Linked DNA regions of Danio rerio. The protein of the gene in region 1 interacts with the protein of each later gene in a pairwise test. Links are inferred from orthologs where the notes say so. Each region holds a gene or a part of one and is shown on either strand. Other genes may lie near its edges.

Region 1 (5,044 bases):
AATACACATGCTACTCCCATATGGTCTGAAACCTGACAGGTGGGCAAATCTAAGCTCGTTTTTAATTAAGCAAATATAAATATGCATATAATACTGCTAAAAATAATACATTATACATTAGCAAATTGTCATGAATGAACTGAAAAAGCCTCCCGGGATGAAGGCATGAAAGTATAGTTTTTATATTAATTTAGGCTTGAAAATAATCTTTTGTAATATTTTTAATCCTTAATATGTATTATATTTTAATTTTTCATATGTAAAGATTTTTGCGTATTGCTCTACATTTTGTGTGTATTAAGCAGTGTGTAAGCGAGGCGCACAACTAACGTGCTCTGCTGGACAATAGACCGGCTTTGTTCAGGTCTATAGAACCGACTATTATAGTTTCTCAAAATAGCAATGCACCTCAACACGCCATCTTTTTTTAGATCAGAACGCCTATGGGCGCACATATGATTGTAAAATAAAATAATTGTGTTTTTTTTTTTTTTTTTTTTTTTACAAATTTGATGACTACAAATTGCTAATTGCAACTTGTAACATTCTCCCTATAAATTTACATTTAGAAAACCTATTAATGTATTACATTTTTTTTTAATCCGTCTATAAGCTTCTACTGGTCCAGAACTCAGCTGCCCACATCATCACTAAACTCTTTTTCACCATATTACCCCCATTTTACAAAATCTGCACTGGCTTCCAATCCAACCTAGAGTCGATTATAAAATCGTCCTGCATACTTTTTAAGGCTATCCATAACCTCACACCAGCTTATTTGTCTGATCTCTTCCATATCATCACTCATTTCTGCTCCCTTAGATCCTTCTCCTCCATACACTCTGTTCCCTCTGCCAAAGCTATTTGGCTATTTGTATTTTATAATCTTCTCTTTTTTTTTTTTTTTTTTTTTTTTAAATATACTGTGGGTTTATTTTTAAATTATTGAATTGTGTATATTTGTTGTACAGTGATCATGGGTTCTTGAAAGGTGTATTGCATAAAACGTATTTAAAATTATTAGCTAAAAAAAATTAAAATAAAGGTTTTTACATGTATTATCTCTAAACCTCAAACAATGTTGTTTTTGGTGTTCAGGACTATTTGTTTTAAACTGTAGTGAGCATGCATTACCGCTAGATGGCGTGAAAGCTGTGTAGAATTACCCTGACCAGCCAGTTTTTCTTCTACAGGCTGGTTACCTGAGGAACGTCACATGGACCTTGTCAAACCTGTGCCGCAATAAGAACCCTGCACCACCTCTGGAGGCTGTGAAACAGATACTACCCACACTCATCTGCCTTCTGCAGCACAGTGACAAAGAAGTGCTTGCGGACACCTGCTGGGCCATCTCTTACCTGACCGACGGGCCCAATGATCGCATTGAGGTTGTGGTGAACGCCGGTGTGGTTCCTCGACTGGTGCAGCTACTGGCATCTGGGGAGCTGTCCATTGTGGTAAGTTGGTGGAAAGTAGTGAACTCTTGAGTTATACGTTTAAAATGGTAAATTTAATAATAACTTTTTTATTTTTTCCTGCCACAGACCCCCTCACTACGTTCTATTGGTAACATTGTCACTGGCACAGATGAACAAACGCAGGCTGTGCTGGAGGCTGGTGCTCTTCCCATGTTCCCAGCTCTGTTGCGCCACCAAAAGAGCAACATTCAGAAGGAGGCGTCCTGGACTCTCTCCAACATCACGGCTGGCAGAGACTATCAGATTCAGGAGGTCATCAATGCTGGCATTGTGCCGTACCTGGTGGAAGTTCTCAGACGAGTATGTCACCACATGAACACAATACAATACTTGTTCATGAAGTTAATTTATTTTCAACTTAATTTTTTCTCTCTCTTGCCTCATGCAGGGTGATTACAAGACCCAGAAGGAGGCTGTTTGGGCAGTGACCAATTATACCAGCGGGGGCACAGTAGAGCAAGTGGTTTACCTAGTTCAAGCCAACGTATTGGAGCCCTTGTTGAACCTGCTCTCCACTAAGGACAGCAAAACTATTCTGGTCATCTTAGATGCCATCACAAATATCTTTTTGGTATGAGTCAATTTTAAGTTGAGGGTAAATGAGTTTTATTGATCTTATTGAAACCAAGTATAGATGATTTTCATCTCGACTGCTACATCTCAAAATAAGGAGTGAATCAGATTTTATTAAATTTTTCTCTAAGAAGTTTGTCACATGTTGCCACTTGTGTGTTCAGTAGCTCTTCTGTCATGTGTGCATTTACAGACCAATTTATTTGCCCTCCTGTGAATTTTATTTATTTTTTAAAATATTTTCTAAGTGATGTTTAACAGACAAGGGCATATTTTTTATTTTTTAAATGCATCCTACTGAGGAAAAAATATAAAGGGAAGTCTTGTTTCTTTTAGTTTGACTGGAATAACAAAAAATACAATTAAACTGTTAACTGGTGAGGTTGATGTAATTGGCCCGACTACTCTAAATCTCTGGATGCTAATCTTGCAAAATGACTAGTGATAATGATGTTTTGTTCTGATATTTAGTTACAATATTATTTGGTATAATCCCCTCTGACCCACACACAGTTATGACTCACTTTGGCTTCGTTATTTCAGATTGACTGAAAGAACTGATTAATCCAATTTTCTAGTCGCATAAATTAAGGAAACATCACAAACTTTCTGTCTGTGCATTTAAAGTTTTACTTAGTAAATGCATTTACTTTGTAGTCTGAGCACATTATTTTTATTCCAATAGTCCATTAATGCAAATAGGTAGATCTGGAACATGACATTATTTTGTTGTTCCTCTGTTAATATAACTTTGTTTTGTTTTTAGGCTGGAGAGAAGATTGGTGAGGTTGAAAAGCTGTGTTTGATGATTGAGGAGTGTGGTGGCCTGGACAAAATCGAAGCTTTGCAGTCTCATGAAAATGAAATGGTTTACAAGGCCTCCCTCAACTTAATTGAAAAATATTTCTCTGGAGAGGTGGGTTGATCAAATTTTGAATCTCTAGTTGCGCATTATGCATTCTTTTTTTGTGTGTGTAGAGTTTTATCAGTCTGCATATTAAAACTCTGAATTATTATACATTCCACAGACGGGATGGGGGGGGGGGGGGGGGGGTAATCTCAACTTTGAAGTTTAGTTTTATCTTTTGCTTTTAATTCTTTCAAGAACTGCTTTTCCTAAATCCCTGATTTCTGTCTTGCAGGAGGAAGAGGATGAATGTGTCGCACCTGAAGCTACAGATGATGGTTATGCATTCCAGATCAACGAAAACCAAAGCACTTTCAACTTCTAAATGTCTGACCTGTGAAATACTTTTGTATGATTGTTCCGATCATTTCTGCACGCCACTTATCTTGTTCATGTTTGTCTCTGTTTGGACCTCGTGCTCCAAGTTGTACATATGAATCTGTCAGTTTTAATTGTTGCAAATAAACCAACCGAAAAAGAACCAAAGTTGTTTTCTTCTATATTCAAGACATGGACTAAATAAAATATGAATAAACAATAAAGAGGAAAGACTGATGTTAACCGCCAAGTGAAATAAGTGTATATCCTACAGCACTATGAATATCAAGTAGGTCTGATGTCACAGTCTGGGCGGTTTAAGCGGCTCCACAGACACCTTGCAAACCACATTTCCTCAAATCGGTCGCCCATAAGCGATACAACTTTTCCCTCAAGGTCTTGGAATGGCAGTAGACGCCGAAAGCTGTTTGTTCGTGGAAAATATGTTAAACTTCGGGAGGTCTCTGTAAGCGGATCTTTTGAGGGGACGTCGTGGATTTACTTTCACAGACGGTAGAAATACGAGGAGCGCGTTAAAGCGTGTGTATGTATGCAGACATGGCAGGGCTGTGCACATCCGGGCCACAGGACCGTGACTCCATTATTTTCTGTTCACTGTGAAACTGGCGTTGAGGGGAACCAAAAAGCAACTCTGTAACACATTCGACCCGTTTTTTGTAGTAGTCAGCCTGGATAAGGGTCAAGGACATGTCTAATCAAGGAGTTAGAAGGAATGGACCCGTTAAGTTGCGTTTAACAGGTAAGGAATATGCGACATCGTACAGTTTCATCTGAAACTGGCTAGCTGGCTAACAGCTATTGCTGTAAGTCATTGTAGTTTTCTGCCTTTTACCGTGAACCTTCGCTTTGAAGAGCTCTGCGAGTGTGTTTATTTGTCAGATTATATGTTTTGGGTTATGGTGATAGTATGACTGAAACTGGCGTTTTGTTGCAGCGTTGCGTTCTTTAGCAGGTTGGACAACGTCATAATGGAGCCTCAATGGAGCGCGAACGCAACAATTACATTTCTTTAGCTTCAATTGTTTACATTCTTTTGGTTGCGTTGTGATTATCGTTTAAATACGCGCAGCTGCTGATGTGGACGATTGGCTTCGCGAAGAATACGGCTTATTGGCATGAATTGAATTCTTAAGCTTGCTTTATGTAGCCCGTTGCCCCAAATGCAAAATGTAAGAAATCACGTTGCTTCAGTCACTGCAATGCTAATCTGCGAGTGTTTATCTCAATTGTGTTTGAAAATGTTTGCACCAATTAGTACTGTAGACTACACTAAATACTACTAACTAGTGAGAATGGATATTACACGTTGCTTTATTAGATGGAAGAGTGCGGCAGAACATGCGTTAATATAGTATTTACCATAGAAAAGTTACACTGTTAAATGTTTATATATATATATATATATATATATATATATATATATATATATATATATATATATATATATATGCATCTGTATGTATATTTGTTACAACAACTTAGCAATAACTATTAATAACAGTCTACTGATTAATGCATGCGTTTAAAGCACGAGTTTGGTTTTTTCAAATTTCATAGTTAACATATTTTTCAGTTGTTTAGTATTATAATTATCCACATGCTTTTATTCGTAATGTTCTTGAACAGACTTTAGCTATTGTCTAAAAGTATTAAAAATAAATGTAAAAATTCTTACATATTCATTATCTGAAACAAAAAAATTACTTGTTTTATAAATTATACAAATCTTCACAATATAGGCAAACTA
Region 2 (6,267 bases), on another chromosome or scaffold:
AGCCATATTTGTTGCGCTCAGCAGCTATTCACTAAAGCTCTTCATTTAAAGTTTCATTTATAAATTTAACCACGTCATATAAAAACAAAAACAGTTGTTTGAGGATATAGAACACATTTTGTGTTTGGACTTTCCCCCGATGCGTTTAAAGCTGCGCTGCGCAGGACTGAGTGACAGAAACAAAGGTATAGGCTAGATTCTGCTTTCACTCACCCAAATAATGCTCTGTTTGCGCGATTTGATTAATATCATCGTATCCAAATACTTTATAAATATTTACTTATATAAATATTTACTTTATTTAAATATTTCAAACTTTATCCGGTGATTAGTTTTTAGAAAATATCGAAAATCTTTTTTTTTTTCAGACAGGTCTTTGCAAAATGAAAGTTAGGCTATATGTGGCTTTAAAACGATTTGATTTATGTATTGTATATAGGCTACCTACATTGTTATAGCTAGCTTTTATTTATTTTATATTGGTTAATTTATTTAATGTGATTTTATATTTATCCGATATTTGTAATTTTTTAAATTATATTTCAATATAGGCTATTTTATCAAGATATGACACTATATTGTTTAAAGTCTACAAAAGTGGGCACGTGATTTGTTAAGTTTAATGTCTTTCTGTTGTATTTATATTGTGTATTATCTCCAGAATAAATAAAGAAAAAAGCTGCTCGCGCATAACAGAGCTGTGAAGGAGCGCTCTTGCCCGGTCGTACACACACATACATGTCTAAACATGCACAAACAAACATTTTAAACTTGACAAAAACTCTGGAAAACCTTTACTGTCTGCTGTGTGTTTAATATGGTGTAAATATTATTATGCGTTATTGAAACATAAAGGAGGACGCAGCAAAAAACGTCACTATAAATTAAAACTACTTTATTATTGTATGCAGCAGCCTTACATTTAAAAGGGAAACATAAGGGTGATCATACGCAAAAAGACCCCAGACTATAAGGCTAGATGTTTTCTTTCCCTTATTTCTTTATTTGTTTGGCGCATGTACTCATGTGCGATCAGAAAACTGCCCGCCTCTCCTTTCACTCCGCCCCGAAGCCCCAGCTGGCCCTCCTTGGCCCAAGGTATTCGGAGGGCCGAAAAAGGCCGGCCGCTGGCCCCAAGAAAGCCCCGCTTTGGCCCGATTAGGCCCTGGAAGTGACAGTGGAAACCCCACTTGCCTTGGCTCGCTCGCTTTAGGCGCGATAGTGGAAACGCGGCTAATGACGTTTTTATAGATAGCAGAGTGTTTTTGTGACGCACAACTTAGAAATGTGTCTGTTAAAGCCGTTATAATCTGTCACGTGGTTCAAGCGCGTCAGAAATACGAGAAAAACATTCTCCTAGTTCACGTGTCTGCCGTCAGAAATATAGTGTGTGTGTGCGTTCCCGGCCTGTCAGCTGTTAGCTCAGCGGCTCTTCAATACACACACACAGAGAGAGAGAGAGAGAGAGAGAGCAAACCAGAGTACTGGCATGAAACCTAACAGGTATGAAAGTCGAGCAATTTACAAAAATGAGCAATAAAAGTCTGTTATTGATCCTCTGCTGCTGATTTGCTGTTCATTCTAATCGCGAGCCGTTTGTGTTTTATTTTGTGTGTTGTTTTCACCACGGTTTGTGTTTTTCTTTCATTTCGAAATGACACTAGCCTATATTTTCACTTTGTCACAGTTATTAAATCAGTGTGTCAGTGGCACAGTACAGGCTACGTGTGTGTGTCAAACATTTTGGTGAATTACATTAGTTTGGGCTGGTTATATATTTAAAATAAAGAGAAAACGTTGACTTTAGCGATGACGAGGCTTCATTTAAACTGCAGAAGATGCCGTCTGACAACCAGGGGAAAACGCCTCACAGCAGCTGTTTTCCATCCTATTAGATCGCATTTCTTTAAATGATCAGTCCCGGAGATGCTGCTGATGGACAACAGTATTAGTTCAAAGAGGATAAAAGCAGGTAACATAGATTAAAACTCGTTTCAAAGCTGTGCAAATGTGACTGTTTACACGCATCAGCTGCCGACCGGAAGTTCTTCGCATTCTCCTTGCGCAGCATACACGCAAAGCATAATGGGTAATTTTGCGTTCCAAGAAAAAGGGCTATACACACTTTATTTTAGCGGCTGAATGAGAGCATCATCCGGGTTTTCAATGTGAACGCACTACTTACACTATTTATACTACAAAATGGCGTAGAACAGTGCGCAAGTATGCGATTTGGGACGCAGCTAAAATCCTTCAATAACTAATCGAGCTAAAGTGATTAATTAATCAAGGTTTAATCATCCCTTAAATAACAGATTTTCTGAATTGTCTTCAGAACAAACCACTGTAAACCAACGACTTGGCTAATTACCCCAGTGAAGCCTTTAAATTGCACGAAGCTGAATACTAGTATCTTGTAATATTAAGTGCTGTCGTGATTATGACAACAAAATGAGTTATAAAAAACAATACATTTACAAGTGCGCTGGGAAATAATTAAAGAACTGAATTAGACAGGCGGCTTAACAATACTGACTTCAACTAGTCATACTGCGCAGCTCTAGCCATCAAAGCAAAGCAAGCGTGTACCTGCAGTCTGGCTGTTGCTGTCCGAGTTGACCACAGGACTACTGACGCTACTGACGGCTGAGCCAAACACAGCAGAAGAAGAAGACGAAGAGGAGAAGGAAAACGACGGCGCTCCACCTGACGACAGCGCCCCGAGCACCGAGCTGTCCACCTTCTTTCCGAAATTAAAGGAGACTCCCGGAGGAGCTGCTGGCTTTTCTGCTGGAGGCTTGTCGTCCTTGTTTTTGAGGGAGACGGTCTGCGGAGCCGCAGCACAGGATGCCAGCGGCTTCCCTGGTGTTTCGTCTGCCGCCCCGCTGCCGTATTTCCTCTCGATGCTGGCCAGGTGACGCTCGTAGTCCCGGAAGATGGGGTTGAGGTCGCACAGCGGGTTGTCGTTGACGTGTTTGGTGATCCAGTCGCGCACCGAGCAGTTCAGCGCTGTGAGCTGCCGGTTGTACTCTTTACTGCTGGGGGCGGAGCCGTTGGAGGTGACCTCACCGTCTGTGGGCTTGGAGGGGGTGGAGCTGCTGAATGTTAAAGGACCTGTGCATGAAGAGAGGGAGATACATAATTAGGGATGCAATGGCTCTTGGTAAAAAAAACGTATTGTCTCGTCGTCCTCTCACAATTCGGTGCGTCCTGTGATCTATAGTTCATAGGGATGTAACGGTATTGTAAATACCGTCATACCGCAATATTAATTTTTTCGATATTACCGAAGTCGCATGACTCGGTAAAACTATAGGTCTTCTGAGAAAATTTGCTCAGGCGAATGAAGCGAACGGGAGGTAGCGAAAACTACAATTCCCATCAGCCCATGCTTGACCATCATCCCTTGCGGTCTGTTGTCGCTACAGATCCAGTAATGCGGAAATGGAGTGTGCTGCTAGAATGCATGTACACTTTCTCATGCATTGCACATGCGAAGACCTCTCCAATCACCTCCAAGTATGTAAATCAGTTGCTGACATCACATTTCCTCATGTGTCTGTGTGTGTGTGGGGAGTTTCTGTGGGTTTCAGCATGGCGAGTGAAGGAGATACAGCGCAAATGCGCAGATGAGGCCAAATCACAGCGCACTGCAGTCACGCATACAACATACGATTTTTAAAACGCTCAACTTTTAATTAATGCAAGAACATGCGATACATTTGTGTGAAGCTGTTGCATTGTCAGGTGTTCGTTAACGGTCAACAACCGCCTGAATGTACTTTACCCCTTACTTCATGGATAATTAAGTGTAGTTTTCTGTACTAATACACAACAAATTACTGTGATGAGAAGGGCTGCTTCCTAAATATTAGAGTTGGGGTCGAGTCCACCTTTGTCGAGTCCAAGTCGAGACCAAGTCCTTAACCAGTCGAGTACAAGTCCGAGTCTGAGTCCAAAAGGGGTCGAGTCGGACTTAAGTCCGAGTCCTTAACATCCGAGTCCGGCCGAGTCCAGACAGTCTTAAAACTCATTTATTATTTTTTCTTTTGGCTTAGTCCCTTATTTATCAGGGGTTGCCACAGCGGAACGAACTGCCAACTAGTCCAGCATATGTTTTACGCAGTGGATGCCCTTCCACCATTCACCCATTCACTCTCATTCACACTCACACACCCCGGCCATTTTAGTAAATTAAATTCCCCTATAGCGCATGTGTTTGGACTGTGAGGGAAACCGAAGCACCCGGAGGAAACCCACACCAACACACGGAGAACATGCAAACTCCACACAGAAACACTCCTGACTCCAGTCCCTGTGCGGCAACAGTGCTAAGCATTGAGCCATGGTACCACGTATGTAAAATAACAATAATAATAAATCAAATATATTTTTCTATTAACAATTAAACTGTTAAATGAAGAATTTAAACTTTTTGTACATTTTTACAAAATGACTTGTATTTTTTGTTAGCTTGCTTCAAATTAAAATAAAAATAGGAGGATATATGTCGAATTTTTATTATTTTACAAGACTCACACGATTGACATTATTCTAATGCCACTTTTTCACATTTCTTGTTTAAAATACGCTTGCATTACCAAGGCAAAAATGCATTTTTATTAACATTAAACATCAAATAACAGAGAACTGTTATCAGCCCCAGTGTGGAAAATGAAACCATACTCATGCCAACTGACCCAGATCAGCACAGAACATAAAAGGTTCAGCAAAGGGAGACCATTCGGCTTCACCACTGTCTTAACAGGGAATTAACAGTCAGAAAGATTTTGTTTTAAATAAAGAAAGAGTGATTAAATAGTGGGGGCGATTGGGTGCAAAATAAAACCCAGTGGGAATCAGACTGAAAAAATAGTCCAGTGCAGATTTCTAGGCTCTTGATCTGGGTCTATCTGTTAATGATAGCCTGAAACAGGGGTTCTCAATGTCTACATTAAAAGTTCTAAATCTGAATTTTTTTTATTAAGGTCAAAGCAAAGAAATTAAACAATTGATATTACATAACTTGTTTTTAATAAACATCCATAAGATGCAGCACGGTGGCGCAGTGGGTAGCACAATGGCCTCACAGCAAGAAGGTTACTGATTCGAGCTGGCTTAGGGCAAAATAAACACATACTTATCTGTTCATTCAACTTTGAACTGTCTATTCTCTTCATCAATTCTTTTCAGTGAGACTGACATCTTCTTCCATTAAAATGATTGCTTTGCTGCAGTGTGTTAAAACAGGCGAGCACACACGATTATCCAGCATGATCATGATTAGGCCCAGCCCTAACCAATTTGGAGCCCTAGGCAAGATTTCAGGTGAATTCCAGTAAATTCCACTGCTAGTGTACATATACTCATAAGACACTTATTAGCTTTGTCTTGGACATTCTTTCATTTTAATAAAGCAAGTGTACATTCCAAACACTTAGAAGTTTTTGCAACTCTGGGACACCTCGAAAAAATACGCAGCGATTATGCATTGTGAAACCCGTGTAAGTTTTGCAACTGGACAAAACAAAAATTAAAACAATATGATGCTGATCTTATTTTAACTAAACATGCTATGAAGCAGAAAAGAAGGATGAAGAGTCAGGCAGGTATTAGGCCTAAAACATGCCTAATGATTTATACAAGATAAATTCAGGTCTAAAAAGACAACATATAATTCTCATTCATTCATTTATTTATTTTCTTTTCGACTTAGTCCCTTTATTAATCAGGGGTCGCCACAGCGCAATGAACCGCCAACTTATCCAGCATGTTTTACACAGCGGATGCCCTTCCCTTTATATGCTATGGCCAATTTAATTAATCAATTCACCTATAGTTTTTGGATTGTGGGGAAAACCGGAGCTCCCAGAGAAAACCCACGCCAACACGAATAGAACATGCAAACTCCACACAGAAACATCAACTGACCAAGCCGTAGCTCGAACCAGCAACCTTCTTGCTGTAAGCCGACAGTGCTACTCACTGCGCTACCGTGCAGCCCACAGATAATTCTATAAAACATATTTTTTGTATCTTATGGAATTGTCGAATTAAATTAATATTCTTGCAAAAGACTTCTCAAATTATCTTAATACATCGCTCCTGTTGTGTCTTTGTGTTCCAGTTACATTTAGGACACATTTCTGTTATTTATTTAGAATATTAATTGTATAATAATAATTATATATATATATATGTATATATATATATATATATATATATATATATATATATATATATATATATATATATATATATATATAT
Region 3 (6,874 bases), on another chromosome or scaffold:
GCACATTCAAACAAGCATAGATATCATTTCACACACGAGTCTTGAAACAGACGCAGTATCAGTTAAGTGTCAGTAATAACCCTCTCACCTTCTCGCCAAGTTTTCTCAGAGCTGTGAGGATCTCTACTTTCTGCTGAGTGAACACATCTCTAGAGAGCTTTCCAACCATCACATCGCGGTCCATCTGAATTCATCAAACAGCACATGAGCATAAGCACGCAGGGGGTCGTATATTTGAAAAATGTCAGTATTAAACAATGTTGGTCACCTCCGCCAGTCTCGTCCTCAGTTGCCCTGGCTGCTTTTTAGCAAACAGCCGAATAACTTCAGGAGTCTTGAACGCCTGACTGATGGCAGCTTGGATCGCCTAAGAAAAATTTACTTCGACATTAAACAATCACAGGTTGTTCTGTGTGAAATAGAGTTAGATTTTTTGACCCTAGGGTTTACCCATTTGTCAGCAAGACGTTGTTAAGCATGTAACTAAAGTTTAGTATGATCACTTTTCTGTTATACATTTGAATAATGAACAAAACAAGTATGTTAAACTAGGGCTGAGCCTATAAAGCATATTTTATCGAATCACGATAAAATGTACGTCAATAACAATGATAAGCTCTGCACTTTTTTACTCTATAATGATCTAAGAGCCAATCACTGCAGAAATGTGCAACAATGGGAATCGAAAAGTGTGTTGATATTAGAGATGTACTGAATTTTTTGGCCACTGAAAATTTATTGGCCGAAAATATATTATGCCATTTAAGGGACCCAGTCATTTTTGTGGCTTCAATCATTTTTAATTATTCGGTTTATTAACAACTTATATCGAAATATACATCGTCATCATTCAATATGTAAAATAATTATCGAGATTGCATTTTTGCCATATGGCCCAGCCCTCTGTTAAACTAATGAACGTTACACTAAATGATGATGAAACCTTATTTCATACATATTTTAACATTTTTATATAAGAAAGCTGAACCATTAGACTAGACACTTCCTATGTGTATTGAATTAATTGTACATTTAACAATGTGGACGCCTCATCTTTAACCCAAACACTTTGATTTATAATGTATAATAATAATTGATAATTCTATAACATGTAAATTAATATTATGTTAAACAGAATGTTCACCCAGAAATGGAAATTCTGTCATTATTTGCTTCACCTCCACTCATTTCAAGCTTGTTTGAGCTTCTTTCTACTTTAAAAAAACACATACTCACATAAAATTTGTATTTTTTTTAAATTATAGAAAAACTGGTGGCCATTGACATCCATATTCTTATTAATATATACAGTATTTTACAGTATTTAAAAAAGATATATTATTTTTCTTTTGTTTATACTACGGATCTCAATGGTTAGAGTTTTCTAAAAAGGTAAAGTTGGTTTTATATTTACTTATTCAGACATTCCCCTTAATAATATAGTTTCAGAAAATAATTATTTGCAAATTCTAAATTGGGAAATGACATCAACAGCAAATGACTTATTAAAGTACAACATGATTTACAGTCAGTTAAATAGTGCTAATGTAGTTTTAAAGTTAAAGTTACATGTGATTTTTCTCACTGAATATTCAAAGGAATGCGGTAAACAATATAGATAGCATTAAAATGAATGAATGTGTGAAAATAAAACCAACTTTACCTCAATAAGGTTTTCAACATTCTTCAAAATATTTTCTTTTGTGTAAACTCTTTAATGTCTAGAACCACTTGAGGGTAAGCAAACTTTTATTGTTTTGGTGAACTATCTCTTTAATACAATTCAATGTACTTTTTCTTACCAGCTGCATTCCTCCTAATTCATCAACTAGTGTCATATTCCCAGACATCAGCTTCTTGAGTGAGTCATTGAACTCGCTCAGCTGTTCTAGTGTCTCTTTTTTGGTTTCTTCATATTCCTCCTCTTCAAGATCCTCTCTGCAATGAAAAATGATCATAATCTTGTAATATTTTGTTATTGAAAGAGCTGGTGAGATGTGTTTACCTGCACTCCTCTAAATCCTGGAGCTGCTGCATTAACCGGTCCAGCTGTTCCTCCATGTTTTGTCTCAGTTTGCTTGTTTCTGATTTCCCTCTAGAAGCCATTCTTTAAAAAAAAAATTAAAATAATCCAAAATTATATTTTCAGCAATCTCTAAGGTTATTCATACAGAACATGGTCACCTTATAGTGTTGCTACTGTATCTGTGAATGTCACACCTGTCATGTCTGATATGATCAGAAATAGTGTCTACTGTTGGTCATGTGAAGTTAAATATTGTTATTGGTTTACTATCAGTGATTAAAACCCCATTCTGTAGACAGTGAGTGCTTTATTCTCTCTGACTGCGCAGTTAGCTTAGCTTGCACTCACATATAAACAAACCAATGCACGAACTTAAGAATCCTAAACGAAAAGGTTTTAGCTTAATAAAATAGTATCTCTCACCTGTATCTTATTTAATTAATAAAACTCCCAATGTTAAAGATAAAATTACAATTGCTATGTTCCTAAGTCCAGTTTGCTAAGGTGTGGCTTGCTATTGATCTTCAATAGAAAGCCTATGGTCGGTCTGCGTAAACTCTGCGCAGAGTTGACGATTACGAACACAACGAAAGCGTAGGACTTGCGTATGATGTGCGCACGCGCATTGATCATTTGTCCAACACTTGCAGCTGTCCTGAGAAGGGTAATGTTTGTATACCGTACAGTCTATGTTGTTTCATAGACAGTAAAAATGTGTTGTGTATATATAGTGCTGACAACCACACATTTATCAGGTTTTCTGTTTCTTTACTAACGTTACATTTCGCGGCATTTGTTATCATAAATTTGGGGAAGTTTTTTCACTCTGCTCAATGGAAAGCACGAGACTGATGTATTGATTTGGTAGTAAGTAAACACGTTTAGTCCTGCTTATATAACACATTATTGCGCACAATTGTGCATTTATTTTTAATATCATTCTTTAGCCCAGTTGATTAAATAGGTTAATTGATCGTAAACTAATTACTCACTACATAGAATTTACTGTGTAGGAATGTCCTTCCTGTTCCCTCCTTCCTTGTTCCCTGTTTTCTATAGTATAGTCATTAACTATAGTAAAATACCTCCTCTTACTTTCTTTTGAAACAGGAAGAACTTTAGAGAGTTAGCTCAGATTTTTCTTTATGGAAAGATTTGGTGATTTCGTAGCATTATGAATTTCCTCAGGAACAAACTTAATTTTTTTATTTATTTTTATAAATGACAAGTTTTTGTGTGTGTGTGTGTGTGTGTGTGTGTGTGTGTGTGTGTGTGTGTGTGTGTGTGTGTGTGTGTGTGTGTGTGTGTGTGTGGTGTATATAATTATAGTCAGTGTTAGGGAAAGTTACTTTTGAAAGTAATGTCTTGCATTACTCACCAAATTGTAATTAATTGTGTTACTTTTTATGGTAAGTAATGCCATACATTACTTTGGCGTTACTTTTTTTTAATAGCATCTTTTTCAGAATTTGCAGGTTTTTTCTTTCTTTTTTCTTTTTTATTAGAGGAGCTCTGCATTTAACAGCGCACTATAACCTTCATTTACCTTTAAAAAAAATAATAGTTTAGCATAATGTTATCTTCTGAGAACTTCCAATATATGTGCCGTATATACAGATTATTGAAAGTATAAAGCAAATATTTTCTCATTGAGTGCATGATAATTAAACTAAAAGTAACTCAATTATAACTTTTTTTATGTAGAGCATCTTTTAAGTAATAACTTGTTATTTGAAAAAGTAATATTATTATGCAAATCACATTATTTGTTACCCCAACACTGATTATATTAATATTATTAGAATGTCTGAATCACATTAAACATCACATAAAAGCAATTTCATATGTCAAGAAAGTGTCCGCTTTGATATTTCAAATAACTTTTGTAAAAATTAGTAGATTTTGAAGAAATAATGTTTTATGGGCATTTAGTGAAACAGATATATTTATACTGAAATAAAATTGCAAACGTATTCTGACCCGTATTTATCCAAATATGACTAAAGAGCATGTGACCGTTTAACATTTTATTATTAATTATTTATTATAAAATCTTTGACTTTTTAACCTTTTTATTTCTTTTTATAAGAGGAAATGGAAATTTCCTAATGTAAAGAAAAATCGAAACAGCGAATGCCCTTCCAGCTGCAACCCAGTACTGGGAAACATCCATACACTCTCATTTACACACATACAATATGGCCAGTTTAGTTTATTCAGTTCACCTATAGCGCAAGACATGCGGTAAGCTAAATTGTCTGTAGTGTATGTGTGTGAATGAGTGTGCATAAGTGTTTACAAGTGATGGGTCGCAGCTAGAAGGGCATCCGCTGTGTAAAACATATGCTGGATAAGTTGGTGGTTCATTCCACTGTGACGACCCAGGTTAATGAAGGGAATAAGCCGAAAAGAAAATGAATGAATGAAGATTTCTACAGTGGTATATATTAATAAATAATTTATTTGATTAATCTGTGATTTATTCTTCGAAACAGTAATAATAAAAAACTATTTATTAATAATAATATAGAATAATATACATAGAATAATAAAAATATTTATATATATATATAATTAAAAGCTTTTTTGCTGACCTAGTTATGTGAAGGACAGTCAAATTGTAAAATAACAATTACTTTTCATCATTTTGAAATCTATGCTACAAATTCCTGTCTTCAAAAATAAAATGCCTAGTTGCGCTTTAATTGTCTTGATTTATTTTATCTTCTATTCCGACAGCATCTTTCTCATGATCGATGGCATCACAAGAGAAAATCAAGCTGGTTCTGCTGGCATGTGGCTCCTTCAACCCCATCACAAATATGCATCTGCGAATGTTCGAACTGGCTCGCGATCACCTTGAGGACACTGGTAAATCTCTGGACACACGCTTGCTTTTGTTATCAATTAAAACCTGCATATTACACATGCATAACTTCAGATTTCTTGCTGTCTCAGGAAGATACAAAGTGGTGAAAGGCATAATCTCTCCAGTTGGAGATGGCTATAAAAAGAAAGGCCTGATTGAAGCCTGTCATCGCTTGGAGATGGCTAGACTGGCCACGGAGAGCTCTGAATGGATCACGGTGGATGACTGGGAGAGTCAACAGCCTGAGTGGGTGGAGACGGCCAAAGTTGTTCGGTGAGAATCTCTTCAGATCATGTGCTTTCAGATCAGAACATTTCACTTTTGTTGAAGGGAAAGATAAATGTCACACCCTTCGAGTTTTGCATCTGTTGTTGTGCTTTGAGTCTTTGCATGAGTTCAGTGTCCCATCTGATAGTGTGTTAACTTGTGTGGATGGACGTCATCTTTGATATTCTACTGCGTCAAAATGATTGTTTTGATGTTGATATTAAAATCTGACACTGCAGGCAAAAACACTGTCTTCATGCACCTGTTTTGCCCTTTTTGGCTTTTTTATTAAGTTTTATTTCTCTATTTTAAGTGTTTAATGGAAAGAAAAGATCTGAAACATCTAAGTGATTCTTTTATTGCACTTATTTATTATTATTATTATTATTTATTACACATATTCTGACTGTATATTTATAATGTAATGTCCAACTTTACAGTCGAGAATTAAATCAGCTAAGTTTTATTCATGTTCATATTTATTTATTCATTTAAATCCATTTATTTCTTTACAGTGGTATATATTCATAAATAGTTTGCTTGATTAATCTGTGGTTTATTCTGCAAAAATAAGTGACACTTTTTAAAAAATCTGTTTGTTTGAGGTATTTTCTGAATTGTAGAGTGATATAGATTACCTAAATACCATTGGCATGTAAATTCTTTTGACTGTAATATGTCAAATAAATTAAACAAGTCTGAACCTGACTTCATCCAGTATTATTTCTTTATGCTAAAATGAATGGAAATTAGTGCATATTTAATGAATATCTCATTTGCATATCTAAATACAACATTTCAAAAACCTAGATTTTAGTCAATCAATTCTGGAAGCAGGGTGGTAAATATGTTACGTAAGTTTTCACCCTATTGACCTGCAGTTTTCTCTAAGTTATAAACTTTACGTTCTATACATATTCACAATTTAAAGTTTTTTTTTTTTTACAAAAAAGAAATTCATGAATAGTTTAATTTATTTACAAATTAATTTGGTAAAAAAAATCTTGTTTGCAGAATGTTTTGTATAATGAAGTGATGTAGATGCTCAAAATCCCATTGTAAAATTATTTACTCTAATATAGCAAAATTAAACAAGAACTTTGCACCTGACTGCACATAACCCACCTAACCTAACCTGCCTAGTTAACCTAATTAACCTAGTTGAGCCTTTAAATGTTACTTTAAGCTATATAGAAGTGTCTTGAAAAATTTCTAGTAAAATATTTTTTACTCTCATCATGGCAAAGATAAAATAAATCAGTTATTAGAAATTAAAACTATTATGTTTAGAAATGTGTTGAAAAAACTTCTCTCTATTAAAGAGAAGTTGGGAAACATAAACAGATGGGCTAATAATTCTGACTTCAATTGTATACGTAAGTTAATTATTTTCATTTTCACCTGCAGTGTCTTGCCTTAAATCTGATAATTGTATGTCTTTTTTGTTAGGCATCATCATGCAGTTCTTTCCAGCGAGAATAGCAGCAACGGTGATAATGTGGATACTGGGAAGTATAGGAAGAGGAGAAAGATGGAGAAAAAGAGCCCTTCTTGTATGAACCCAAAAGCAGGTATAGTAAATTATCCTTCATAGTACAAAAGACCAATAGACTTTAAAATATGTTTACTTTCGAAATGTCGCTTTGTTAGAAGACCTGACGACAGCCAATAAAATGAATGGCTGATGTGCCCTAAGGACAGGAGAGAAACAG
Region 4 (6,267 bases), on another chromosome or scaffold:
AAGTTAAACTCAAATGCACAACCCTTGTTGGTTGCACCTGCGGGATGCACAATGAACCTAACGCGCCATAATTTTAATTCTATATTTGTGAAGAATGAGCCAACCGCATATGCTTAGTCCTGTTGGTCGGGACTCTGCTTTATAACTTATTAGTTTATTACAATAATCACACTTAGCTTTGCCATTGTTCTTCACAACATAGCCACTCAGCACATCTTGCGGTCCATCTTTAATGTTTAGATTATTTAAGGTGCTATTGACGTTTTGAGAAAAAAATTAATAGTACTGAAACTAAATTATTAAAAATAAACTTGCGGGACTTCATTTATGTCCTGCGGCAACATTATTTTTATTACACTTTAAGTGATCTGCTTGAGGTAGGTCACGTTTATCAATGGTAAGTTTTAGCCTAAGTTTACATCAATAACATAATGCAATAACATAATGTGCATTGTCCTTTACCATACAAAAAAAAAAAAAAACATTATTATACACCAGTTGCCTGTAGCCTATAAAAAGGCCGCAAATATTTTTAAATGCAATAAAAGGCAAGCACATATCTTAGCCTTAGTTTGTTCACACTCTGCCTGTATTAACATAAATGCTGTATTTTAATATAGCCAATTTTGATTAATTAGCTTTAACTGACAGCTTTTTCTTCTTTTTCCGCGGTTATGCGGCATTATATTTCACACGCATATGCAAGGTGACTGAATATGAAATTAAAATACAAAACATACTGAGCCATTAAGTAAAAAAACAAAACAAAACAACAGTTATACTTTAAAGCAGAACATTGACGTTTTGAAACAAAAAAACGGAACTGAAACTAAATTATTAAAAATAAACCTGCCAGACTTAATTTATGTCCTATTTTCATTATTCATTTATTTTCATTATTCGTTTATTATTATGTACTATAATTGAAACATAAAATGAGATCGTAAATATAATCAACAACGAAAATGTAAATAAAAACGTAAATTAAAAATATAAATGAACATGTCTAGTCTTAGTTCTATCAAAATAGCAAACACTACATCTCTCTATATTTAGAATAAAAGACTGCTTTATTTATTTATTTATTTATTTATTTATTTATTTATTTATTTAAGACTAATTATTTGTACTGAATGTTTGTGCTTTCATTTTAGTTGTCATTCATTTCTTCAATTCTATTTTCCAAAACGAATCCTCTTTGCACTTAATAAGTTTACAATAAACCAGGTAAAAAAAAATTTAATGTAAGTTGAGGTGATCGCAAGTTCACAACTGTGAGGTGATGTGCTCTACCGGCAGGATAATCTATATTATTTTGCTGTTTTTCATATGCGCACGTTTAAGATTTGAGATTATAACATTGCCATGATAGTCAAAGAAATCAAAACATTATTTTCACCATAACGCAATTTAATCGGGCACTGAAGGCTAATAACTTAATTCTTATATCTGCTTTTTGACTTCTCACCATGTATCTTTTCTACAGCATAGGATAGTGTAAGAGCATGTCTATTACCAGAAAAACTAAATTAAAATTATATTTTAATTGAACACATCACATCACATACAGTAAGCTACGCCTACAGAACAGTCTGTTTAGCATTGTGAAAAGGCAAAGCTGAATATCTGTGGTTAAAGTGCCACCCAGCGGTCAAATGCTGCTGGCGCATCAAGTACCGCCGTCGCCGCGGCATGAATGGCGGCACAAGGAACACATTGAAGTAGTAACATCTGTACATCTTGCACCTTATTGCATCGGGTGTATGATAGGGCTCATTGACTTCCATAGTATTTTTGCTTCTACATGTCAATGGTTGCTTTCCCCCAAAAATTTTTAATAAAATAAAAAAAAATCATAAATGTTTTATAACCACTTGAGTGTGAGTAAATGGTGAGGGAAAATTTGAAATATTCTTTAACCATCTGTATTCCTTGTCCTTGTTTTCCCTGTTATGACCTAGATCTTACCCCAGTAAGACCAGCCCACGCGTCCCAGATCGACGCTATGAGGCACCGGTGCCAGATTATCCTCCCAACAACAGAGTCAGTGCAAAGGAGAGCATGAGGAACATCAACACAGGTGCAGGTGAGGGGATTACATGTCTCCAAACACCTCCTTTTGAAAACAAAACACACTATTAGTTGTTTACAAAAGGCATAATTTAGGTTTATTTTCTTACTTGGATTTTTAGTCTTGTTTCTAGTCTAAAAATTCAAAAATTCTTAAATTAAGAAACATTTTCTAGACAAGCAAAAGTTATTATCTTGTTTTAAGAAATATTATGTCAACATTAAGTGAGTTTTTTCCTAAAACACATAAAATAATCTGCCAGTGGAGCAAGCAAAATAAACTTATGTCAAAAGAAAAAACAAGATCATTTTGCTTGTTTTTAATTCTAGAAAATGCTTCTTGACTGAAAGGCATTTTTGCAGTGCAGTTCCAAAAATAATGCATACGGTGTGAGTTTTTAAGCATCACATAATACACACCAGACTTTAATGGCTTATATAGGAGGTGAAAAACACGGTAATTTCATTCAAAGGCCTGAAAGGAGCAAAAAAAATGCTGATATTTATATGGTAAGCTTAAAAAGAAAGCTGGACTTATGATAGCTTGTAATGTAAATCAATAAGATCCTTTTAACATTATAGAAGACTACTTAGATAAAATGCATCTAAATATCAGTTGTCGCTCAATGTCTACCAAATAATACATCTTAGTAAGATGATACAGTATTTAAATGCTTAGCTTTACCATCAAAGCTCTGTATTATTTATTGTGGAGACACATGTAATGTAATGCAAAATGGGTATAAGTTACCTTTTACAGTATATCTGGAAAACAAAATAAAATATATGTTACCTAAATGAATGGGATGAAAAACAGTATGTGTATGACTTGGGACAGCAAAGCTTTGACAATTGTGAAGCCTTAAATACATGCAGATATGTAACAGTAGGTATTATATGGTTAAAGGTACAATAATGTATTTAACATATTCACAAGTCTAACACTTAATTTTAAGTTTAATATAAAGTTGAAGTTATTAGAAATTATTAGCCTTTTGAGTTTTTAAATTTGTTTTTTAATATTTCCCAAATTATGTTTATCAGATGAAGGAAATTTTCACAGTATGTCTAATAATATTTTTTCTTCTGGTGAAAGTCTTATTTGTTTTATTTTGGCTAGAATAAAAGCAAGTTATTAATTTTTTAAACAACATTTTAAGGACAAAATTATTAGCCCCTTTAAGCTATTTTTTTTTGATAGTCTACAGAACAAACCATCATTATACAATAATTTGTCTAATTACCTTAATCTGCCTTCTTAACCTAATTAACATAGTTTAGGCTTTAAATGTCACTTGAAGCTGTATAGAAGTGTCTTGAAAAATATCTAGTGACATATTATTTACTGTCATCATGGCAAAGATAAAATAAGTGAGTTATTAAAACTATTATGTTTAGAAATATGTTGAAAAAAATCTCTCCGTTAAACAGAGATTGGGGAAAAAATAAACATGGGGGCTAATAATTCAGGGGGGCTAATAATTCTGACTTCAATTGTGTATAAAGCATTATATATTAGGAAAACTAAAGCAACACATCTCTTTACATGATCTTCCATTAATATAAAAACTATTTACTAAAGTAATTGGGCTATTAGAAAAAAAATCTTTAGTGTTTAGTTCTCTGTAAGTCTAAAACATCATATATAATGGTCTTAAAAGGGTTTAAAAGTCTTAAATTTGACTTAATTAACCTACAGAAACCTTGTGTCAGGCAAGATTGCTAATCACTGAACCATCATGCTGCATTTACCTAAGTTATTTTACTATCAATCAAAAGTTATTGAATACACTGAAAATCTCAGAAAAAAATCTTTTAGAGAAAGTCATTGTTCTGCTGTCAGTGTCTGTTGTGAAAAAGCACATGGATTAGTATGTTTTAGTAAAATTGGCACATGGATTAGGCCTGATTTTAGCCACACTTACAATTTTTTCTTGCAGTCTTGTACTCGAGCTTTACTCAAGGACTTGTTTAATGCTGTTTTTGGAGTGTTTGCTTTATTGCTTCTATTCATCATGAGCTGTGTTTTTCCAAACATTACATTAATCAATTCAGCAAGGTTCTTGTTTGTGGTCCAGGCTTGCTAGCCAACTGCATTATCACACAAAACATCTGCATTTATCATTCCTCACACCATCTAATTGCTGAAGGCACAGTTAAAGTTTGTCAAAGATGTGGTTCGCCGGCTCTCCCGTGGGCTTTCTCTATCAACACACTCCACATTTCCATTACTGATGAGATTTGTGCCTGAGCTGCAGTGTGTTGGTTATGAAACCACTCTGAAGAGACAGTAAAACAACGCAAAGCCATTCGTGTGCCAAGTCAGCACAAACCACAAGCTCACGACAGTCTCATATGGATGATGCAACTGAAGAAATGTGTGAGTTTTTAATGAGGAGATGGTGGAAAAAAGGTCTCCCTCAAAGCTTTCCAGTGTTTCAGTCAGTAACTGGGCGCCCAGAGATATGGGAGCAAATTAATTCTAGTGCTTTTCTTTTTCTTCTGTTTCACAGAGAAAGGGAGTATATGATTATATTTGAAATGTCCATCTCACTTTCCACTTCCTCTAAGTTCTAATAGAATAGTCAGCCACTCAGTTTTTTTTTTTTTTTTTTATCAGATCAGCCAGGCAATTCAGGCATTTTTGCAGATTCAAACACTTGGATTTATTTGGAGTTGTAGCTGTCTGATGTCAGGCTTGCTTTACCTGGTATTAAAGGGATTATTCACCCAAAAATGAAAAGTCTGTCTTCATTTAGTCTCCCTTGGCTTGTCCCAAACCAATTCAAGATTTTTGTTCTGTTAAACAAAAATTAAGATACAATTGTCCCTTGTTAATCGCAGGAGTTTTGTTGTAAAAATTGCCCGCAATAGGTGAAATCCACAAAGTAATCCGCTTTTTTTCAATTATTATAGATGTTTTAAAGCTGTAAAACCCTTTACAACACTATTTTCTCAGATAGACCTTAACATTTTCACACTTTTCTCTTGTTTTAACACTCTTCAACTTCTACCTTCTCTCAGCATGTCCAGAAGAACTTTTTGTACAATGGTTAGTATCTTCCTCAGCCTTTTAGCTGTTGCCGCAGGTGCCTTTGACATAGCAGAATGTTTTGTCAACATTATGGAGGTTGTTGGGGAGAAAACATACAGTACAGCACTTCAGAGTCACACTGCTAGCGATCAAATATTTATGTAAATTTGGCAAGCTAAAAGCATTCTGTACTGTACAAGAGACACGACATGGATGGATTGATTGGCAATGGTCTACAGCCGATCAAGATGCAAAACACAATGTGCTAATCTTGACGCAGAACACAATGGACTGTAAAAAAAGCATGTCAAATTGCACTAAAAAATCAGCGAAACTGCAAGTGCGAAAGGTAAATCGTGTTATGGCGAGGGACCACTGTATATCTGTATATATGAAGAATGTTGGAAACCAGTAACCATTAACATCGACTGGAGAAAAAAAACAAATCCTAGGGAAGTAAAGGGTTACAGTTTTCCAAGATTGTTCAGTATATATTATTCTGTGTTCAACTAAGCAAAACAAACTCAGAAAAAATTGAGAGCTCCCTCATCCTCCATATACAGCAATGCTCCAGAGACATTCAAAGTCGAGAAAAGGAACCAGAAACAGGTGACTTTTGTGATCCAAATCTAATTATATGAAGCTTCAATAACACTTTTGTGCGCGAATAAATTTTTCTCTTTATGATTTATTTTTGTCTTTGTTTTGTCGGTATAATGTATTGTATGTATGTTTCATTGTGTTCGATAATTTACGAATGTAAAATGTTAAAAACAGTAGATTACTGGCAGCCACAGCTGCCGGTATTTTTCCGTAAAATCAAAAAAATAAGTAAATAAAAAAATAAAACAGCAAAACGTTTTTTGTTTCACCATTGTGAAGGATAATAGCATCTGTGTTCAAGTCCAAGATAAACTGAGAGTAATTGATGTTATGCTGCATCTTCTTTTGTTTAAAGGTAACTATGTAGTAACCTATGCAGTGAATATCTGTTTGTTAATTGCAATCACACATAAACACATTAATGCGTCTAATGACTTTACATTTTTGTTCACTATGATTTTGTAAACTGAACATTGTGTCAGTTCATGAAATATGTTTTTTTTTTTGTAAATTTATACAGTTCTATAAAAGTTCCATGTTTTTCACAGAAAAATTCTGGC
Region 5 (6,859 bases), on another chromosome or scaffold:
CAGATTTGACAGACGAGACCCACAGAACCATCAAGATTTTACACTCTGTTGAAGAAACTCTGTGAGAAACTCACACCTGAGCCATGCATGTGACTTCATTCTCCATATGAGAGGCATCTTTAAGCTTTTATTTAATGTATTAAATACATTTCAGTAGTTCAGCACTTTCTCCTTGTGTCATTTCAGTGTTATTACACACAACTCATTTCTCGGATTTTTTTCTTTTGTTTTATCTTTATGTTTGTATTGTTTGAGTTTTTACCAAAATCTGCTTAATTTCATGTCAACAGCTCCTTTAGAAATATTATTCCCAGTAAAAGCATGACGTGTTCAATACTAATTTTCCCCGCTGTATACCTTAAATAAAGTGAAAAATGGATATTTCTTGCAACCACAAGCTTGAATTATGTTCATCAATAAGCAAGAAAAGGTCATTGCTGTTGTCTTTTCAGGTGACAAGCCTTTGACGGAGAAATACATTGTGACTGAGAACATGCTAAAAGGAAGGGTGATCTCCAAATATGATCTGGGCCATTTCTTTGTCAAGTGCCTGTCCACTTCTGAATGGGATGGAAAGACAGTTGGCATTTGTGGAGAGTATAGTTAAGTTACTCAGGGTTTTCTTGAAATATGTTGTCAATAAAGGTGCCCTTTTTTCTGCACTGCTCAAAATGACTGCATACAATACAAATGCGAAAATAACAGGTTGGTACTGATGGTATAGCAGAGATACAATATTCCCAGTCAGTCATTATTATTTCTAAAAGTAAACAATGAAATGAAACTATTGAATAACAGAGAAACTGATTGCACCTTTTAGTTTATAATTTCATAAATGCATATGCTAATTAGTGATAAATGTGCCTATTCGATCAATGTTAAGAACTTAATTTAAATGTTACTTTGTACTTGCAGAAAAGATGTTAGATCAAATGGATTTTGCCTTAAAAACAATCAATGAAAATCTGACATTTGCCTGATTTTAACCCTCTGTTTTTTAAATAAATATGTTAGTTTACAGAATTCCTCTTTTTTGTTGTTGTTTATGTTTGTTAGAATGTTGTATACAATGTATTTAAAGAGACAGTTCACCCAAAAATGAAACTGTTCACTGTTTTTTCATGTTGGTAAATGCAATAATTAACATTAACTAATGAACCTATTTGTAAAGTGTGACCCACTCGTTCAAAATCTATTTGAGTTTCTTCTCATTTCATTTCCTTTTCATCTGCTTTTCCGGGGCCGGGTTGCTGGGGCAGCAGTCTTAGGAGAGAACTCTAGACACTTCTTCCGCAGGGATTCCAAGTGTTCCAAGGCCAGCCGAGAGACAGAAGCTGCGTCCCAAATCGTACACTTATGCACTATTCTACGCCATTTTGTAGTATAAATAGTGTAAGTACTGCGTTCACACTGAAAACTCTAAAAATAATAAGTGAGGTGTGTAATGATGGACACTTCACATACTCAACGACCGCAGGTTTGCTCGCATAGCGGAAGGGGCGGAGTTATCGGACGGTTATGTTGGATAACTATTTATTTTGGATTGTGAAAGCAAAATTCTTCTACGAGAGTGATTATAGCGCCTCCCGATGGTGAATGCGGTTACACTCACGGCAGGTATTATTTGATAGTTTGAGCATTTAATTTACCGATTTGGCAACTGTCAAACATCATTAGGGAAACGGTTTGAATTTCCGCTTAGTAAAATAACATTAGTGTGCCATTTGGGACGACACTACATACATATACTTTCCTGTTGAGTGTTTAAGTGCATAAGTGCATAGTGTATAGTGTGCCATTTGAGATGCAGCTATAGTCCCTCTAGCGCAGGGGTGCCCAAACTTGATCCAGGAGGGCCGGTGTCCTGCAGATTTTATCTCCTACTTGCCTCAACACACCTGCAAGGATGTTTCTAGAAAACCTAGTAAGAGCTTGATTAGCTAGCCCAGGTGTGTTTGCTTGGGGTTGGAATTTAACTTAGCAGGAAACCGGCCCTCCAGAACTGAGTCTGGACACCCCTGCTCTAGCGTGTCCTGGGTCTTCCCTGAGGCTTCTTCCTGGTGGGACAGGCCTGGAACACATCCCTAGGCAGGCATTCAAAACAGATGCCCGAGCCCCTCCAGCTCTCTTCTCTCAATGTGGTGGAGCAGCGGCTTTACTCCGAGCTCCTCCTAGGTGACAGAGCTCCTCACCCCATCTATAAAAGTGCGCTCTGCCACCTTGCGAAGGAAACTCATTTCAGCTGCTTGTATCCGAGATCTTGTCCTGTGAGAGTAGGAACGCTGTATTGTCATAACACTGTATGGCAATGTTTCAGATGACTCCTCTAGAGCCTACAGCTAATCAATCTGTCAGATTCTGGAGTGCATTACAGCTCTAAAGAACATTATAAAGGATCTTAAACAAAACACATACAGTTATAGGTATGGTATATGATTATATAATTTCACTCACCTGGGAGATGGGCTCCATGTGAATGGTTTGTGAGCACAATAAAGTGCACAGCATGCCATATCTGATAATTGTAAGAAATAATTCTAAAAAGCCCATATCAAACACACCTGCCTGTAATTATCATGTCGTGTTCAGGTCCTAATTAATTGGTTCAGGTGTGTTTGATATGGGTAGCAGCTAAAATCTGCAGGAAGGTGGCATAAAACAGCACAAAAATACGATATATTTGATGAGTTCAGCAGCTAATCAGCTGGAATCAGCTAAGGTGAAGTGGCAGCGACCAGCGAGACCCAGCTGTCACTCAAGTTTCCTTAATTATGCAGACTTAATATAACTTAATATAAATGAAACGGATGAGTTTTAAAAATTCACTCCCTCACACAGTTGTCATGAAGGGTAATATAAGCTATATGAACCAAAATCGTTCTTTGTATCAGGCTATAAACATCTTTTTTTCTGCTGTAAAGTTGGCCATTTTAACACTGGGCTGAATAGAAATTTGCTCTATTATGGAGCCAGGACTAGCGGAATTTCGATGACTTGCAGCTTATACTTCCGTATTTGCTTCACGACGGAGAGCGGGAGGTTGTTGCTGGATGATGATGTCATTTTTGGATGAGCTGTCCCTTTAAAGCGTTCGAAAGCAGCACAACTACAATACCCAGCATTCCTGTTCGCGCGTGACGTCAGAACCGATTGAATCGCTGGCGGGACGAAAATTTTCTGCAAACGATTCCAGTCGACCGACACTTCAGCAGCGTTTTATGATTATGACAAAATAAGTTTATACGAGTTGCACCTTTTGTGGAGTTAGTGCCCGTGATTTGCAGGTGAGTAAGCAATGTCTTCGTTACAGGAAGATTGGATCATTTTGTCAAGATGCTAAGCTACAGTGCTGCCTTCTGCTTAAGCATAACGTTACCTTCTAAAAACTTGATTTTTTTGTCAATTTGTTGTGTGACTTTTGCAGCTGATCGCTCGTCTGGAAGACAGATATGCTGAAAATGCCTAAACTTAATTGTGATCACTAACATAAATGTGATACTCTGTTTTAAAATGATTATCGAGTTACATACAAGCCAAATATAACTTCACAAACGTTATTAATCGTAAACTAAATGATGTCCTACACATTTAGAGTTCGCAAAACAATGTCAAATTCTGTCTTTTCTATCAAAAGTTACTGTCTTACAGTAGGTAATTTAAATATCAAATATTATGTAACATAACCTCTTCACCTTCTGACTAAAAGATGACAAAACCTCGCCTCAACAATGCTCATATATACTTTATTTTGTAATTATATATGAATGTAACGCTAAACATTGTACACTTTTAAAACTGGATGAGTATTTTGTGTCTGTAAACCTATGTCCATATCTTTAGTATTTTTTGTGTATTTGTTGCGTTTATATACATATATTACAGATGTTATGTTTTATGATAGTTATGTTTGATGTGATTTCATGAATTAGATGTACGGTTAAATCAAAACCTAAATGATAATGACTGAAATAGTTCACGGTTGTGCAATCAATAAGGAAATGTCTTCATGACCATCTTCATTATGGAAAATGTACAAATTTCTATCGTAATTATAAATTAACAGAAGTAAAATAGTAAATGGACCCTTTTTTGTCTTTTGTTATTTAACTGAATTGTCAATGTAAATTAGAATAGTTTATTAATTAGATTAATTAAAGTTGGTTTTATATTTGCATATTCAGACTTTCTCCTTAATAATCTTATTTCAGAAAAGTATTCTTTGATAATTCACTAGCAGCCAATGACTATCAAAGCACAACATTGCTCAGAGTCAATTAAAGTGTCATGAAACCATAAAACACATTATTTGAGATGATGACAGATCTAATATATATATATATATGTATGTGTGTGTGTGTGTATATGTATATATTTGAAGAAGTCAGATGCAAAAACTTCTTAAGTGCCGTCTGAAATTTCCATCGAAAATTAAAAAAAAAAATTCAGCCTCCTTTGTTTATTTTATTTATTTTTATTTATTTATTTATTTATTTATCATCGTTATACAATGACTTGCATAATTACCCTAACTTGCCTAGTTAACCCAGTTAAGCCGTTAAATGTCACTTTAAGCTGAATACTAGTATCTTGAAAAATATCTAGCCAAATATTATTTACTTTCATCATGGCAAAGATAAAAGAAATTATTAGAAAGTTATTAGAAATTAGTTATTATTGTTTAGAAAAACAATTTCTGTTGAACAGAAATTGGGTTACACACACACACACACACACACACACACACATATATATATATATATATATATATATATATATATATATATATATATATATATATATATATATATATATTTTTTTTTTTTTTTTTTTGCATTGTTTAAAGCAAATTTGTGGTAATGTTTTTTTTTTGGAAGTCATGTGATTTTAGACTAAATATTCAAATTAGCACATAGTAAACAAATTTTCATGTGAATATAAAACCTTCTTTACCTTAGTTTCGAACAGTGGGTTTAAAACAGCTTCTTCTTTAAATAATTCTACTTTAAAAATCTCTATTATGCTAATTATTTCTGTTTATTTCCATTAATGACACATTTGCTGACGCATCAATTTCTTGCCTATGCTGAACTTGTACAGTTGAAGTTAGAATTACTAGCCCTCCTGAATTATTAGCCTCCCTGGTGTGTGTGTGTGTGTGTGTGTATATATATATATATATATATATATATATATATATATATATATATATATATATATATATATATATATATATATATATATATATATATAAAACCCAATTTCTGTTTAACAGAAATTGTTTTTCTAAACAATAATAACTAATGTCTAATAACTTTCTAATAATTTATTTTATTGTTGCCATGATGACAGTAAATAATATTTGGCTTGATATTTTTCAAGATACTAGTATTCAGCTTAAAGTGACATTTTAACTGGGTTAACTAGGCAAGTTAGGGTAATTATGCAAGTCATTGTATAACGATAATTTGTTCTGGAGACAATAGAAAACAAATATTGCTTAAGAGGGCTAATAATATTGCCCTTCTAGCCAAAATAAAACAAATAACTTTCATCGGAAGAAAAATTATTATCAGAAATACTATGAAAATTTTTTTGAGCTGAAACAAGAACTTTTGCTTTATTTCTTTTAACATTTTCTGCTTGTATTGATGTAAACTCTGTTGTGTTGCAGAGTGGAAATGGTGGCCAGAGGTCAGAAACGAAAGCTCTGCAGAGACGACGAGGGAGCAGGTTCAGCTTGGGAAAGTCAGCTGCAGTCTGTGCTGGACATTTCCATGGACAAATACCAGCGGGACCAGGCTCTGGTGGAGCCCAGCTTATTACGGTCAGTTCTGATCAACAACACCCTGCGGCAGGTTCAGTCTGAGGTCCGTGCACAGGTAGACTCACTCTCCCCTCTAAACCAATCACAGCCCAAGCCTCAAGATTTTCCTCAAATACTCTCTCCGGTTGACCGTAACGCATCTCTGTTCTCGCTGAATGCTGAAAACGTGGAGGAAGATATCACGGGCTGGACATCAGAGGAGGATTTCTCATTATCTTCTGCCATCTCTGCCATTCTCAAAGATCTAGACGCCATCATCGATGGACCGTCTCAACGTTCTCCACTCGGATCCATAGAGAATCTACCAGGGTGTTCAAGTTTGAGGGCTGAAAAATCATACTTCAGAACAGAGGCCACGTGTCCAGGTCAAGACGTGTCTTTGGATAAACTACTTATGGACATCGATTCATCCGTTTTTGAGCCTGAAGTGAATCTCCTGCAAGGCTTTTCTGATGATTTAGTGAAGTATCTACCATCCTTGTCCAAATCCCCATCAGCTTCTCCATCTGTGGTTTCTCCAGGTCAGGCCACATGGGAAATCCAGGAGATCGAGCATGTTATGGACTTCCTGATGCGGACGTATCCGTGAAGATGATTTTAATGATTGGTTGAGTTATTTAAATGGTTTTTACGGATGTCTTGGACATCTAGACATGTAAATGAAGATGGCTTGGCTAAAGCAATGCTAAATTTGGACTGCCAGTGAACATCTAATAGACATCCAAGAAAGGACCAAAACTAGACTAGTCATCAAATACACATTAAGCCTGATTTATACTTCTGCGTCAGGTGACCGGCGTGACCCACGGCGCATGCAACGTGCGTGGCTGGGCATTTATACTTCTGCGCGCTGTCTCTGTTGGTCTGCATTAACACTTCCGAAACGCTAGTTGGCAGTGAGGTGTAAATGTTCCTCTGTGTCAAGTTTCTTCGCTACTTTTTTGCATTTCCTGAACACTTCCGAGATGTACAAGTGGCTCAAACTCGCTCATTTTGAGGCAGGAACCGGCGGACGTGCAATAACTTTAACTATAA

What was found.
Region 2: the proteins of kpna2 (region 1) and nup50 interact in binary tests that used the Homo sapiens proteins (3 or more experiments, as listed by UniProt). The two-hybrid records come from large-scale screens. The link is inferred for Danio rerio from reciprocal best matches to the Homo sapiens genes KPNA2 and NUP50.
Region 3: the proteins of kpna2 (region 1) and nmnat1 interact in a two-hybrid assay, tested with the Homo sapiens proteins (3 studies listed by BioGRID and IntAct). The two-hybrid records come from large-scale screens. The link is inferred for Danio rerio from reciprocal best matches to the Homo sapiens genes KPNA2 and NMNAT1.
Region 4: the proteins of kpna2 (region 1) and necab2 interact in binary tests that used the Homo sapiens proteins (3 or more experiments, as listed by UniProt). The two-hybrid records come from large-scale screens. The link is inferred for Danio rerio from reciprocal best matches to the Homo sapiens genes KPNA2 and NECAB2.
Region 5: the proteins of kpna2 (region 1) and sertad3 interact in binary tests that used the Homo sapiens proteins (3 or more experiments, as listed by UniProt). The two-hybrid records come from large-scale screens. The link is inferred for Danio rerio from reciprocal best matches to the Homo sapiens genes KPNA2 and SERTAD3.

The regions. Positions count from the first base shown.
Region 1 is NC_133178.1:24,112,291-24,117,334, reverse strand, and holds the end of kpna2 (importin subunit alpha-1), read left to right. Parts: intron 1-1,193; coding exon 1,194-1,457; intron 1,458-1,544; coding exon 1,545-1,778; intron 1,779-1,866; coding exon 1,867-2,049; intron 2,050-2,817; coding exon 2,818-2,967; intron 2,968-3,193; coding exon 3,194-3,283; 3' UTR 3,284-3,436; downstream 3,437-5,044. Other genes in the region: E3 ubiquitin-protein ligase SMURF2, read left to right, coding at 3,985-4,036.
Region 2 is NC_133179.1:71,998,566-72,004,832, reverse strand, and holds part of nup50 (nuclear pore complex protein Nup50), read right to left. Parts: intron 3,115-6,267; coding exon 2,590-3,114; intron 1-2,589. UniProt on the Homo sapiens protein: Component of the nuclear pore complex that has a direct role in nuclear protein import. Actively displaces NLSs from importin-alpha, and facilitates disassembly of the importin-alpha:beta-cargo complex and importin recycling.
Region 3 is NC_133198.1:32,505,806-32,512,679, reverse strand, and holds the start of nmnat1 (nicotinamide/nicotinic acid mononucleotide adenylyltransferase 1), read left to right. Parts: upstream 1-2,650; 5' UTR 2,651-2,690; intron 2,691-4,765; 5' UTR 4,766-4,782; coding exon 4,783-4,897; intron 4,898-4,984; coding exon 4,985-5,168; intron 5,169-6,611; coding exon 6,612-6,733; intron 6,734-6,874. Other genes in the region: protein LZIC, read right to left, coding at 89-184, 269-367, 1,803-1,938, 2,006-2,106; nmnat1-rbp7a protein, read left to right, coding at 4,783-4,897, 4,985-5,168, 6,612-6,733.
Region 4 is NC_133193.1:22,957,409-22,963,675, forward strand, and holds part of necab2 (N-terminal EF-hand calcium-binding protein 2), read left to right. Parts: intron 1-1,961; coding exon 1,962-2,086; intron 2,087-6,267. UniProt on the Homo sapiens protein: May act as a signaling scaffold protein that senses intracellular calcium.
Region 5 is NC_133193.1:49,160,610-49,167,468, forward strand, and holds sertad3 (SERTA domain-containing protein 3), read left to right. Parts: upstream 1-3,120; 5' UTR 3,121-3,284; intron 3,285-5,671; 5' UTR 5,672-5,678; coding exon 5,679-6,413; 3' UTR 6,414-6,570; downstream 6,571-6,859. Other genes in the region: blvrb (flavin reductase (NADPH)), read left to right, coding at 453-607.